Linked DNA regions of Drosophila melanogaster. The protein of the gene in region 1 purifies or fractionates together with the protein of each later gene. This does not show direct contact. Each region holds a gene or a part of one and is shown in the gene's direction. Other genes may lie near its edges. The genes, in order: roq, Rcd-1 and Not10.

Evidence for each region.
Region 2: the proteins of roq (region 1) and Rcd-1 purify together in Drosophila melanogaster (affinity purification with western blotting, with the first as the bait; one study listed by BioGRID). This does not show direct contact.
Region 3: the proteins of roq (region 1) and Not10 purify together in Drosophila melanogaster (affinity purification with western blotting, with the first as the bait; one study listed by BioGRID). This does not show direct contact.

The regions. Positions count from the first base shown.
Region 1 is NT_037436.4:16,375,406-16,380,239, reverse strand, and holds the start of roq (roquin), read left to right. Parts: upstream 1-1,673; 5' UTR 1,674-1,808; intron 1,809-3,001; 5' UTR 3,002-3,002; coding exon 3,003-3,164; intron 3,165-3,229; coding exon 3,230-4,834. Other genes in the region: Agpat4 (1-Acylglycerol-3-phosphate O-acyltransferase 4), read left to right, coding at 5-540, 613-970, 1,031-1,113.
Region 2 is NC_004354.4:19,637,153-19,641,385, forward strand, and holds Rcd-1 (required for cell differentiation 1), read left to right. Parts: upstream 1-1,736; 5' UTR 1,737-2,157; coding exon 2,158-2,241; intron 2,242-2,293; coding exon 2,294-2,668; intron 2,669-2,743; coding exon 2,744-2,938; intron 2,939-2,995; coding exon 2,996-3,087; intron 3,088-3,149; coding exon 3,150-3,318; 3' UTR 3,319-3,594; downstream 3,595-4,233.
Region 3 is NT_033777.3:12,628,993-12,633,768, forward strand, and holds Not10 (CCR4-NOT transcription complex subunit 10), read left to right. Parts: upstream 1-1,654; 5' UTR 1,655-1,722; coding exon 1,723-1,811; intron 1,812-1,885; coding exon 1,886-2,641; intron 2,642-2,701; coding exon 2,702-3,029; intron 3,030-3,125; coding exon 3,126-3,184; intron 3,185-3,242; coding exon 3,243-3,593; intron 3,594-3,658; coding exon 3,659-3,983; 3' UTR 3,984-4,196; downstream 4,197-4,776. Other genes in the region: Snx3 (sorting nexin 3), read left to right, coding at 230-460; CG18530 (uncharacterized protein), read left to right, coding at 4,367-4,429, 4,490-4,776. UniProt on the Drosophila melanogaster protein: Component of the CCR4-NOT complex which is one of the major cellular mRNA deadenylases and is linked to various cellular processes including bulk mRNA degradation, miRNA-mediated repression, translational repression during translational initiation and general transcription regulation.

The DNA.
Region 1 (4,834 bases):
TTAGTCCTTGTCTGTGTGGCGGAATGGTATGCGGGCAGCAAGCTGAGGGTGTACATCGATCCCCAGGACGAGCAGAAGTTCTTCGGCAAGGAGCATGGACTGCTCCTGATGAACCACACGTACGAGATCGACTGGCTGACCGCCTGGATGATCACCGACAAGCTGGGCAATCTGGGAGGCACCAAGGCGTATGCCAAGAAGATGCTGCGCTATGTTCCGGTCCTGGGATGGGTCTGGTGGATGGCCGAGTTCATCTTCCTTGACCGCAACTTCGAGAAGGACAAGGTGGTGATCAAGACGCAGCTGAAGGAGGTCTTCTCCTATCCGGATCCCGTGTGGCTACTGCTGAACGCGGAGGGCACCCGTTTCACACCCGCCAAACACGAGCTGTCAGTCAAGTTCGCCGAGGAGCGAGGTCTTCCCCTCCTCAAGCACCATCTGATTCCGCGCACTAAGGGATTCACGACCAGTCTGCCCACCATGCGTGGCATCTGTCCTGCCATCTACGACATCAATCTGGCCTTCAAGAAGAATGCCGAGGTGAGAACTTAAGATCTCATATATATGTATATATATTTTAAATTACATTTTCGAACTTGAATTAACTTACAGCCAAAGCCCACCATGCTGTCCCAGTTGAACGGAGAGCCCGTGGAACCGTACATGTACATTCGCCGAGTGCCACTGGACGTGGTTCCCGATGACGAGAAGGAGGCCGCCGCCTGGATGCAGGACTTCTTTGCGGAAAAGGACAAGATCATCGACAGCTTCCACGAGACCGGCAGCTTCTTTAAGAATTCCGGAGTCAAGGAGGTGCCCGAGAAAATCTACAAGCCGCGCCTGAGCACGCTCCTCAACTTCTTGGGCTGGGCCACCTTTGCCGTCCTGTGCATTCTGCACTACTTGGTCACCTCGCTGGTTGCCGGCAACTGGTTTGGCTTCATCACGGTTCTTTCCATTTTGGGAGGATGTAAGTTGAGAAATTCTAGTTTCGAGGATATGTGCTTAACTTTACAACTTGTACTTCCAGTCTATAGCCTCATGGAATACGCTGTGAATGCTTCGAAGATCAGCAAAGCCTCTGCGTATGGAGCAGCTGCTGCCAAGAAATAGATTTTCATACCTGAGTTTTATAAACTCTGCAACAGTTTTGGAATATACGACCTATGGACTAATAACTCAACTGCACTGACCATAGAAATATTATGTACATTGAATATGTACGATAAACCATTGTAGTTAACTGAATAAAATAACATTTTATGCGAAATTCACTTACAGGAACTAAATGATTCTTAGAGGCAAATATTTAATATGTGTTTGTACATCCAATCGAAAAAATTTCTCACAAATTCACTTACAAGAACTAAAAGTTTCTTTGAGGCAAATATTTAATGTGTTTGTACATTAAATCGAAAAGATTTCTCAGTCTTCTACCACTTATATAAACGTCGTAGTTACAAAGTTTAAACTTCTTGTACTTTTGTTTTTCTAATTAGAACATGTGTTGTATATTTTAGCCATTTATACAATAAATGCTATAAAATTAGGTTATCGAATTTCAAATATAGATAGTGATGTCCAAAACGATAACTGCTTATCGCAATCAGCTGAGAGCGCCTAGTGCGACCCTTCGTGTAAGCAGTGCAGCAAGACATTCAACGTTTTCAGCCAGCTGGATTCAGTATTCCGCCGCTCGTCACCTGCGGTCATACTGATTGCAACTTCCCAAATTTCTTACAATAATCCAATGAAAATTAAAAAACATATTTTCGTACCTTTAATGCAATAATATGTGCATTTTGAAGGTGAGTCAGTGCAGCACCAGTGCCAAAAATTGCATTAAACCAAGTTTGTGCGAAATCCACGAAGCAGAGTGAAAAGTGAAACGTAACGAAAAAAACGTTGAGAGAGATTTTCGTGTAGTTCATTGTTTTTCCTGGGGGATTACTTGGTTTCAAGGACCTTTCACTGGCCTGTGGCCCTACTTTTCGAAGGTGCCATTCCTTGGGTTGGCACAACCTATAGGATACTGCCCGAAATTCCCTTTGTTCGCGTCTCGAAAGAAAGCGGATGCTTGATGACGTTGAAAGCGAGTTACGTTTGTGTCCCCCATAAAGGCAGTTATGCGTGTGTGTGTGAGTGGCTCTCTCTCTCTGGGGTCTCAAAAGGAATATTAGCGATCCTTTGAGCACTTGAAGATCCGAAAAAGTTCTCCAGGAAGTGCAACTGGGGTATAAAAATATATAGTTGCTATATATACATACAGATATACTTGCATGCGTGTACAAATGCCCTCGCACACAAACAGCAGCAGACGAGTGTGCGTGTGTGTCTGTGTGGGGGGAGCACGCGAGTGTGTGCGTGTGGCGACAGCTGACGTTGGGGGTAAGGCAAGAAGAAGAAAAAGACGAAAGCGAAACTTTTTACTGTGCCACTTTTGATCGTTGTAAAAGGAAAATAAGACTATCTTGAGTCACGTCACTTTCATCGTTACATCAATTCGATAATAACGAGCATATTTTATGGGATATTAGATCTTTACACGATTTACCCTTTTATAGATCGATAATTTAAGTATTTATAGGTGGGCTCTATACAGATCTTATTGTGATAGATTCCATTAAGACTTATAGATGTAGGCTGCCACAAGTCTGTTTCAAATATTATACTTCATTCTCAGAAAAAACTAATGTTTTCCATAAAGTTAAATCTGATAAGGATATACATAAATTGAATTACCCATAGAGCATATGTGTGAACATTTGTAGCATGATTTCTTTACCCAAGATAAGAAACATTACTCATTCATGCTATGAAATTTTAAAGGCAGTATTACTTCCGCCATTCCTACAATATATATGAATAGAATATGTTTAACAAGCCTGATTCGGGTAATTTGTTCCGATTTCAATATCACCAAGATTCCATTAAAATAAGATTTTCCTTACCTTTTGGCTTATTTTATTTTAATTGGTATTTTTATGTAATTTACGCACAGCATGCCGATTCAGGCTCCCTCATGGACAGATTTTCTGAACTGTCCCATCTGCTGCAATGAATTCGCGGCCAGCCAGCGATGTCCGGTCAGTCTGGGCTGCGGGCACACCATCTGCAAGCTATGCCTGACGACCCTCTACAACCGGCAGTGTCCCTTCGATCAGGTGAGTTGAACTCCATTTAAGTATTGCGCCAACCCTAAACGATCTGCCCTAATCTCTTTTCTCAGACCGTGATTGTCAGTGACATCGACAATTTGCCCATCAACCATGCCTTGCTCCAGTTGGTCAAGGACTCGGAGCTCCTCGAGCTGGCACCACCACCGCCCAGTGTGCAGAAGCTGGAGCCGGAGCACCTTAAGTGTTACCAACTGGGTCAGCGGTGCATCGAGGAGCTGGCTTTGCACTTGAAGTCCTTCCTCAACCTGAACGGAAATGGCAATCTTCTAACTCGACCCATGTTACGGAAACTGGTTACTCTGGTCAACTGCCAGCTGATGGAGGAGGAGGGACGGGTGAGAGCGCTTCGAGCAGCCAGATCCCTAGGCGAACGCACAGTCACCGAGCTGATCCTGCAGCACCAAAATCCCCAGCAGTTGAGCTCAAATCTGTGGGCTGCAGTGCGGACAAGAGGATGCCAGTTCCTTGGACCCGCCATGCAGGAGGAGGTGCTCAAACTGGTGCTGCTGGCCTTGGAGGAGGGATCAGCGCTTTCGCGCAAAGTGCTGGTCATGTTCGTCGTGCAGCGACTAGAGCCGAAGTTTCCCCAGGCCTCCAAGACGAGTATCGGACATGTGGTACAGCTGCTCTACCGCGCCAGCTGCTTCAAGGTGTCCAAGCGGGAGGCGGACTCGTCGTTGATGCAGCTCAAAGAGGAATTCCGTACGTATGACGCCCTACGCCGGGAGCACGATGCCCAAATCGTTCAGATAGCCACCGAGGCGGGTCTGCGAATTGCACCGGAACAATGGTCTTCCCTATTGTATGGCGACGTGATGCATAAAAGCCACATGCAGAGCATCATCGATAAGCTGCAGACGCCAAGCTCCTTTGCGCAATCAGTCCAGGAATTGGTCATCGCCTTGCAGCGGACCAGCGATCCTGCGAAGCTATCCAGTTTGCATCATCATCTGAAGTACCTGGCCAATATTGATCCCTGTGCGGAGGTTGCCCCGTGGTCGGTTTTGGCTGAGGCCTTGGATGCAGTGCGGCATTCGGTCGTTGGACTGGTGAACTTCCTTCAGCACCACGGAGTGCGCAAGGCGCAGGACGGCATCAGTGGCGGTGGCAGTGGTGGGACGACCAATAGCAATCCGAAGTACAAGATCAGCTTATGCAGGGACTTGAATGTGCGGCGGGTGTGTCCCCGAGGTTCTAGCTGTACCTTTGCCCATTCCCAGGAGGAGGTAGAACGCTATCGTGCACGGAATCGAGGAAAACATATGAAGACACCGTTGGCGCTGCAGGGACCTCCAGCGGTAGGCGTAGGAGCCATAAAGAAACCACTAGGCGAGCAGGAGGGACCGCCTCTAGGTAACATGCCACCCATGTTACCTATGTCGCCTATGCATTATATGGGCTCTCCTAGGGGATATCTGGATCCCAGCTTGGGACTTTCGCCAGGTGGTGGTCTCCCGCCGTCGCATCACAGTCCCATTACCAGGCTCATAGTGCCGAGCCGCTACGATTCGCGCTTTAGCGGGTTTGGCGGTGGCACGCCCAGGATTCCTTCGCCCAGAGAATACCAAGCCAATCCGGTAGCGCCAACGCAACGCAATGCCAACCCACCGAATTTTAGTGTGAACAGTAACCTGCACAAGGGCTACATGTTGCCC
Region 2 (4,233 bases), on another chromosome or scaffold:
ATACTGAGAAAGCCGCGCCGCCACGAATTATGGCCTGTTTGTTACTGGTGTGTGCTGGCAACACTGACGCGAATTCACCACGCTGGCGGCCAAATCCACCACAAGCAGTCGATGCCGCTGCATGGAGAAAATCCACACACACACACACACATACGAAGGAGCACGACACGCACACACTCATATGGGTTGGTTGCCCTGGCCTGCGTATATGTATGCTTACATTTCTACTGGCCAAATGCAAGCATCTATCTATCTGCACTAGGACTAATATTATTGTGAGCACGATTTTAGAGCGCAATATCGACAGCCAGTGCACTGGCAACAAAATTAGCAACAACGACGCCGCCGCCAAAGCCCTGACCCAACACCACCACTACAACCACTACCACTACCAATACCAACGACAACAACAATAACGAACGGGGCAAAGAAGAAGCAGCAACGACAAGCAAACGGCAAACTCACCATGCGGCAAAGTCGTCGCTCAGAGACAGACAAAAGAAGATGGTGGAGTAGAAGAGCGCCTGCTTTTGATTTGCGTGCACAATTCGCGATTGCGATTTGGATTTGCTATTTCGTTTGCCTTTGCCTTTGCTGGCATTGGCATGCTCATATTTCTATGCACTTTGATTGATGCTGCGCGACGCCGTGCGGCAATTTTCTTTTTTAGGCGTTCGGCGTTGTTGGGCGAGAAGTAAAACACATTTTTCCATACGATTCAATGCGATTTCGAAGCACGGGCAACACTCGACTCTCGGCCGCAGTAGGCACTACTCGCACGCACACATCGGCGGTGCACACGCATGCACACACACACACACAACAGCAACAGAACGGCACACACACACACACGCTCAGTCGTACGCACACAAAGGCAGCGACACAGAGACAAGCGCAACGAGCTCTCTCAGTCGCCGTTGTCCCACTTTCCGTGTATTGGTTTCGATTCGTACACTTTTCCACGCACTTTTAACGATTCAAATTCGATGGTACAGAAGGCAGGGCGACACGAGAGTGCATTGGAAACTGGCGCAAACCTCAAAAAAATATATCCAACACGCTGGCCGCACGCACGACTCGTATGCAGACTGGTTCTCGGCGCGCGTCGAACGTTCTTATGCATTCATTATTGAACGGAATGCTCTGTTTCGCCTGTCTGCTTATGTTTTTTTCTTTTCGATTCCGAGGTACTCGTCACGACAAATGAAAATCAGTGTGGCCGTTTTGCGGCTGTCAGCTAGATACCCGGCTGGCGGGGAATGTGCTAAGAAATACCACAAAATCGACGGGGATAGCCGGGATACAAACCAGTCGGTGCACTTGACTACCGCTAAATGCGTCTTTACTAAATTGCATTTTTAGCTTTTAGCATGCAAATTATGAACTATAACCTAATTAAAATACCCATTATGGTTATTACTTTTGATCAATGTAATCATCGGTCATTCGCAATCACGCGCTCACGTCCATTCATTATTTCTTTGCAATGTCATCCTTTTTCAAAGATATCAAGCCTATTTTCTTCAAAATTGTAGACTTTTGCATTTTGCACCAACAAAGCATGCGCAAGCAGTTGTATTTGGCAAATCATGTTTGATTTCATTCAGACTTTGTGTTTTCGTACGGCGGGAAGTTTCTCTGAAAATTTAAATTTATGTACATATTTACATCGACGCTGGAAAACAAATAGCGCGCTTGCGTTTCACCAATTTCCAGCGGCATTTGCGCGGTTCTGGCCACACTGTTCGGCACACAACATAATCCTGGTTGTCGCCACTTGTTTTCGATCATTTTAGACTTAAACCAATGCAAAAGGAATTTCCTGCTAACGTTATCGATAATCGCAATAGACGCCAAATCGCCAGTTTTACCTCTTCCTTTTTCGCAGGCCCCGTTCCGTTCAGCGAATTCTCGCCCGAGCTAAGTCTATTGCAAGCGTCCGGCTATAGAAATCGACGACAAATCGCTAGTTCCACCTCTTCCTTTTCGCAGGCCCCATTCCGTTCAGCGAACTCTCGCCCGATCTAAGCGTCCGGCGATAGGAATCCACCTCTTCCTTTTCGCAGGTCCCGTTCCGTTCAGCGAGTTCTCGCCGACACTAAGTGCATTGCAAGCGTCCGGCGACAGTTCTTACCCAGATCTTGTCAAGTTAACACGATGAGTGCTCAACCGAGTCCGCATATGAATCCTCAGCAGCAGCAGCAGCAGCAACAGCAGCAGCAGCAGACCGAGCAGGAGAAGGTAAGCCGATGTCGGCAAGAACGCGTGCTAGCTTTAACTTATCGCCCGCCAGGTGTACCAGTGGATCAATGAGCTGGCCCATCCGGACACGCGTGAAACCGCTCTGCTCGAGCTAAGCAAGAAGCGTGAGACGGACCTGGCCCCCATGCTGTGGAACAGCTTCGGGACCGCCTGCGCCCTGTTGCAGGAGATTGTTAACATCTACCCATCGATAACGCCGCCCACTTTGACGGCCCACCAGTCGAACCGCGTGTGCAACGCCCTGGCGCTGCTGCAGTGCGTCGCCTCGCACCCGGAGACTCGCACGGCCTTCCTGCAGGCCCAGATACCGCTGTACTTGTACCCTTTCTTGTCGACCACGTCCAAGACCAGGCCCTTCGAGTACTTGCGCCTGACCAGTTTGGGCGTGATTGGTGCTCTGGTCAAGGTAGGTTAAGCCGAAGGCCAGTGGTCATCTAATGCACTAATGCACTTGTTGTCTTCTTATTACTGCTATCGACAGACCGACGAACAGGAGGTGATCACCTTTCTGCTGACCACCGAGATCGTGCCCCTTTGTCTGAGCATCATGGACAGCGGATCGGAGCTGAGCAAGACTGTGGCCACTTTCATCATCCAGAAGATCCTGCTCGATGAGTCGGGTCTGTCGTACATCTGCCAGACCTACGAACGCTTTTCGCACGTGGCCATCACCCTGGTGAGTGTCCGTTTCCCGAAGCCTTATGCATTGTCTAAGGGTCTTTATCGATTTCAGGGCAAAATGGTCATCCAGCTGGCGAAGGATCCATGCGCCCGGCTGTTGAAGCATGTGGTGCGCTGCTATCTGCGTCTTTCGGACAATACACGGTAAGTCTTGGCGGGCGAGTAAATTATCGCTCGGCTTTTCAGTCTAGCCTTGACTCTTTCAGCGCTCGCAAGGCCCTGGGACAGTGTCTGCCCGATCAGCTGCGTGACGGCACCTTTGCGCTGTGCCTGCAAGAGGACAAGTCGACCAAGCAGTGGCTGCAGATGCTGCTCAAGAACCTGGAACTCGGCGCCACTCCGCAGCAGATCGGCATGTCGCCACTGGGCTCCTAGGGAGTGGAAGCGACAGCACACCCAGCACTATATTATCAATTCTAACGTCCAACCATCGATGATGAATAATCCACGCTGTTAATTACATAGCTGCTCGACCGAATATACATAAACATGCATACATACATACATACATATTTCATAAGCGTGCACGAGATTGCCTGTGTCGACTTAAGCGGAGCTGTAATATACCTACATAAATTACAAATAAATTAATGTTAATACTAAGATTGTCACTGACACCCAATAAAGAACCTCGAGCAGACGATACGATATAAATATTTATGCGTGTTTGTTTTTTTTTTTAATATCAATATTCTAACAGAGGATATTAACAATCCCGCAAAAGTTCATAATCATCTTTTCGCTGCATACTTTTGGGCTACTGTCCGGATTTGCTATATTTGCTATTTGCTGTGTATATTTGATAGTAGGGGGTGTCCCCGAACGAATCTTATAGGTTCTATATACATATGTAAGTTCTGACCATCACAATCAATCACTCTACTGAATGCAAATGGCTCATCCTGCGAGGTGTGTAAACAAAAGTCGAGAAAATTGCGCAGAAAGCGCATCTGCTGCTATCCCCGTCCCGCTCCTGGCCACGCAGCTGGCATGCTGCTGTCCCGCTCTAGGTCGCGTGGTGTGCACCAAGAGCACCCAGTGCTCCAGACCAGCCCAGCCCAACCCAGGAAAAAAAGGTAGTGCAGCGGGTGCAGTAACGGCAAAACACACATTCAAATGCATATAATATGGACACTCATATACAGCGCTTGCAATAGCTTCAATTACAACAGGTTTAAATATAGACACATGGAATAAACACTAACAGCCGCAGCACAAATTGACGCCTCAAGTCCTGGGCACACCTCCGAAGTTGTACTGTTTGGATTTCCACAAATTGTTTTGCAGGTA
Region 3 (4,776 bases), on another chromosome or scaffold:
AAGTGTGATCCAGGCGGTAGTCTTTCGTTTTCACTTTAATAGATTCAAAATCCGCACTATTCAGAATCTATTTAGATAGAATTACGAAACAATACATTGTAATTATAAGAAGCCACTAGAAAAGTTTCAATCCTTAAGAGGAAACTTAACCCTGAGTTTTATAAGTGAAAACGGAAACTTCGATAAGCGCCTGAAGAGTATTTAATCATGAACATACATATCCCCGCAGATTGTGGTGCCACCACTCCCAGGAAAGGCATGGAAGCGGCAGATGCCCTTCCGCGGCGACGAGGGCATCTTTGACGAAAGCTTCATCGAGGAGCGGCGCAAGGGACTGGAGGCCTTCATCAACAAGATAGCCGGACATCCGCTGGCGCAGAACGAGCGCTGCCTGCATATGTTCCTGCAGGAGAATGTCATAGATAAGAACTACGTGCCCGGCAAGATTCGGAACACATAAGCAGCTTAGTCCGGCGCAATCGAAACCCCCTAACCATAGCAATGCAATGAAGCAAAAACTCGAACGAACAAACCTGCTACGAAATCTTTATGGGAAGCCGTGTGAATGTGTGTGCTTGCCCGGATTGGAGGAGGATGGAGCAGATGAGCGATGATGTAGGTTGGTGGAGAAGGGATCTGTTATGCGACGCGATACGAGGCGGGAAGTGCTGCTGCTCAGTTAATGTTGAGCCCCTCTCAGCCCCCGGGGATTAGTTAAAAACCAGCATTGGGAATTTTTAATGCTAAATTCAAGTTTATATGGTATACATAACAATATACATACACATATATATATATTATACACAATACACATATTTACGAATAGTGTACATAAGACATGCCTACTACGCCCTCGCTAAATGAGTCTCGAAAGTAGGAGCTGCCCCTCCCATTTTCCCGATCCTCAGTTTCTTCGTTTTGAACCATTGCAGCGGTAATGAAGCAGCAAATAAAATAAGGGAGCCATCCTGACCCCAAAATCGATCCCTTGTAAGTGTATGCAAATTATTGAATATTTTGAAACAGTTTAGTGAATAATATTGTACTTCGAATCAAATTAAAATAATTCAAAAATATTGAACTGCTGATATTATTTGAATGTGCTTGAAAATGATGCGCAACTGAAGATTAAGTTGAGTTTTGTATAAAATATTAGCCTTTTTCCTAGCCAATTCTGCGGGATGGAAGTTTGTTCTTCAACTGGTCGATGTTGAATCTATGTAGTTCCCATCATATAAACCAGGCGAGGATTAATAACAATATGATGAAACAGGAAACTTCGATTGAATGCAAGGATAATTACAGTTGGGTGGGTAGGTGGATCAAAAATTGTAAACGATAAATGGATATTTTATTATTCTAAATATTATATATCATCACAAACAAAAGTCTCAGTTGAAATAAAGGTATAGGTTTCGCGCGCTGCAAATCTAGACTAGTGATGTGCTGCCACCTATCGACAGCAAAATGCCAATTTGACCATTGTAAAGTTAAAATTTTATATAGAATATATTTTAATTTGTTCATATTAACAATTTAATTTTTAATTAATAAATTAACAAGAAATTTAACAAGTTGTTTAATGTTAAGAATTAACTTATTTATTAATAAGGTTAACCGCTTTAGTTACGGTTAAAAGTGGCAACGCTGTGCTTGTTGATTCTGGCAACGCTGTGTCATCTGTGGATTGGTTCGGTTTTTTTGTTTTTATTTATTTTTGGCATGGACTCGGCGGAATCCCCCACCAAAACGCAGGCCGGCGAGGACGAGAACTACAGTCTGCTGTGCCAGGCGCACGAGCAGTTCAACAAGTGAGTGTTCATCCGCGTGTCACCGGGAAGTGCACCCATAACCGCCACTCCTTTCCGGCTGCTCCTCATTCTAGCTCGGAGTTTGATCGCTGCTTGGAACTGCTCCAGGAGTTGGAGACGCGCGGCGAGAGCAGTGGTCCTGTCCTGCGGCACAACCGGGCGGTGGTCAGCTACTACAAAACCGGGTGCACCCAACACTCCGTCCTGCTGAAAGAACTGGAGGCTCTAACCGCCGATGCAGATGCGCCCGGAGACGTGTCCAGCGGGCTGAGCCTTAAGCAGGGAGCTGCCGCCGCCACTGTTGCTCGTTACAACCGGGCGGTCATCTATTATCACCGCCATATGTTCGGCACGGCACTGGAGAAACTAGCACCACTAGTGGCTCGTCTGGAAGCCCTGGAGAAGGCAATGGCAGCGCTGGTGGCCACACTACAGCTACAGCTGCTGCTGGCCACCAATCAACTAAACCGAGCCGAGGCCTTTCTGGATTACTTGCAGTACAAGCTTAACCTGGTGGCCACAGCGCCTAGCAGCAATGCGGCCGAAGAGGCAGCTGTTGTCGGCACAGCACCTCCGTCAGCAGCGACGAACAGTTCAGTGGTGGCCTCACCAGGAGGAGCAGCTGTGGAGGGAGCTGTGCCCGGTCTGGGCGGTAGTCTGCAGCTCTTGCAGCTAATAACGCTCGTGCTTAACCGAAAACCGGTGGTTATTCAGGAAGACGGCACGCCGGAGTACGCTGCTCTGAAGGCTCAGCAGTACTACATCATGAAGGATTTTCAGATGGCCGCCAAGCAGCTTATGCGAATCAATAACGAGTGTACACAAGCGGGGTGAGTCTGCTTCATTTTAAGTTCAAAGAAGACATACTATTTTATTGTCTATCTTAATAGCACTATAACCCCCCAGCTGAGCACGTGCATTGCCAACAATATGGGAGTGATACACTTAAGAGTGCGTCACTATGCCATCGCCGCCAAGTTCTTCCAAAATGCGCTCAACTTTGACCAGCAGCTGGCGCGAAATTTGCGCCAGAGTACGCTGCAAACCATGAGTTCGGCACGGTCCTGCGAGATCCTTTACAACCTCGGTGTGGCCATGTTGCACCTACGACGCCCCAAGGAGGCGTTTCAGTGCTTTCTGGTTCCCGTTAAGCAATTCCACAGCAATCCACGTCTTTGGCTGCGCATGGCTGAGGCCTGCATCATGGAGCATGAGGCGGTAAGACAACTTTACACTAACATGTTCTAGTACAATAGAGTCACAATAGGGTATTTATTTGTCTTAAATCTCAAATTATTTTATTTTGTTTTAAAGAAACTAGTGGAGGAGGAGCGCCAGTCGCAGTCAGAAACGCCATCAACAAAGCCATACGCGTAAGTGCTAATTCGTTAGCTTAGTTCATTGCTGGTAGTAAACTTTTCCTAATTTTAGTCCTCAATCGGCGGGAGTTCCAGAGCCCACGCTGGAATTCGCTGTCTTGTGTCTACGTAGCGCGTTAACGCTTACGCAGCACTACAAGACGAGGTTTCACATGGCGGCGGTCTCCTCGGAGGATGTGGAAGCACCCGAACCCAAGGACCCAACTCAGGAGAGTTGGCGTCATCCCCAGGACAATAACTTCTGCAATCCCTCGAAGCCAGTCAGCCTAGAGTCTTTGGAAAACATGATGGCTGCCATATATGCTGCTCACAGCTTCGTCTCGCTGCGCCTAGGCGATCATGTGACCGCGCTCGAGATGTCGGAAAAACTGCTGGCCTGTGAACGCTTGTCCGATGCACACAAGTACAATACAGTTTCTATTTAATCTTCCCATGTTTGGTTTAACATATTTACCTTTTTTTCTTCAGATTGCTAGGTCACATGTACGCTGGCGAGGCGTTGATGCTTATGGACAAGGCCAGCGAGGCACGCGACCATTTGGACCCTACTTTTGTGGGCACACTAAACGCCTTCGATTTTGAGACGCGTGACTGGCAACTGAAGTCGGTGGACGCCGCTCAGAACGTTGTGCGGTATAATCTGGCCGTTGCCATGGCTCTACAGAACGACCTGCCTCAAGCTAAAGCACTCCTGGCCAATTTAACTCATTCGCTGGTTGCCAACAAGGCGCTTGCTTTGCGACGCTTCATGGACCTCAAAATGGGTCCCGTTCCTGGCGGGACGCCGAGTTAGACAACAAATTGTGTATATAACTAGACGGAATTAAAGTGCAAGAATGAAATGACGAGGAAGCGAACTATTTGTTTGACGATCATCAGTTTTTCAGCATTTTACAGGGTGCAAACAAGGTGTATAAAACAATGTCTGTTAACTAATCCATATGTGCTTATATATTTGTACACAGAGAATTGGTGTTGGCAATAGCAAATTATCTCACAATATTTTACGTTGAACTTTTGCATACTCCAGTCATTGAGACTTTTTCATAGGAATTCTACAAATTAGATTACCCTCTACGTTAAAGCGTTGGACACTTAAATTTTAAGTATCTATCTCAGGAATTTTAAAAGTTGGGTCAGAATTATTTTGACTTGTGCAAGTTACTCTTACTCGAAATGCCGTATAAAACGCTTGTCATTCTGAGTGTCTGTACTCAAATAGTCAATGGAATAACTTCTGTAAGTGCTTTTTAGTCGATAATTATAGCTATAGGCAAGTGCTACGCTCTCTTTTCCAAGGCCGAAATCATAGCCTCGCACAACTATCCGGTGGAAATTCACACAGTGGTCACACGAGATGGGTATTTACTCAACGCGTTCCGCATACCGAACTCAATCTATTGCGAGCAATCTGGAACAAAGCCGGCGGTTCTCTTCCAGCACGGAATGACCGCCTCCTCGGATGTTTTCCTAGTGAATGGACCTCGGGATGCATTGCCATTCATGTTGGCCGACGCCTGCTTTGACGTTTGGCTGAGTAACTCGCGGGGCACTCGGTATTCCCGACGCCACGTGTCTTTGGATCC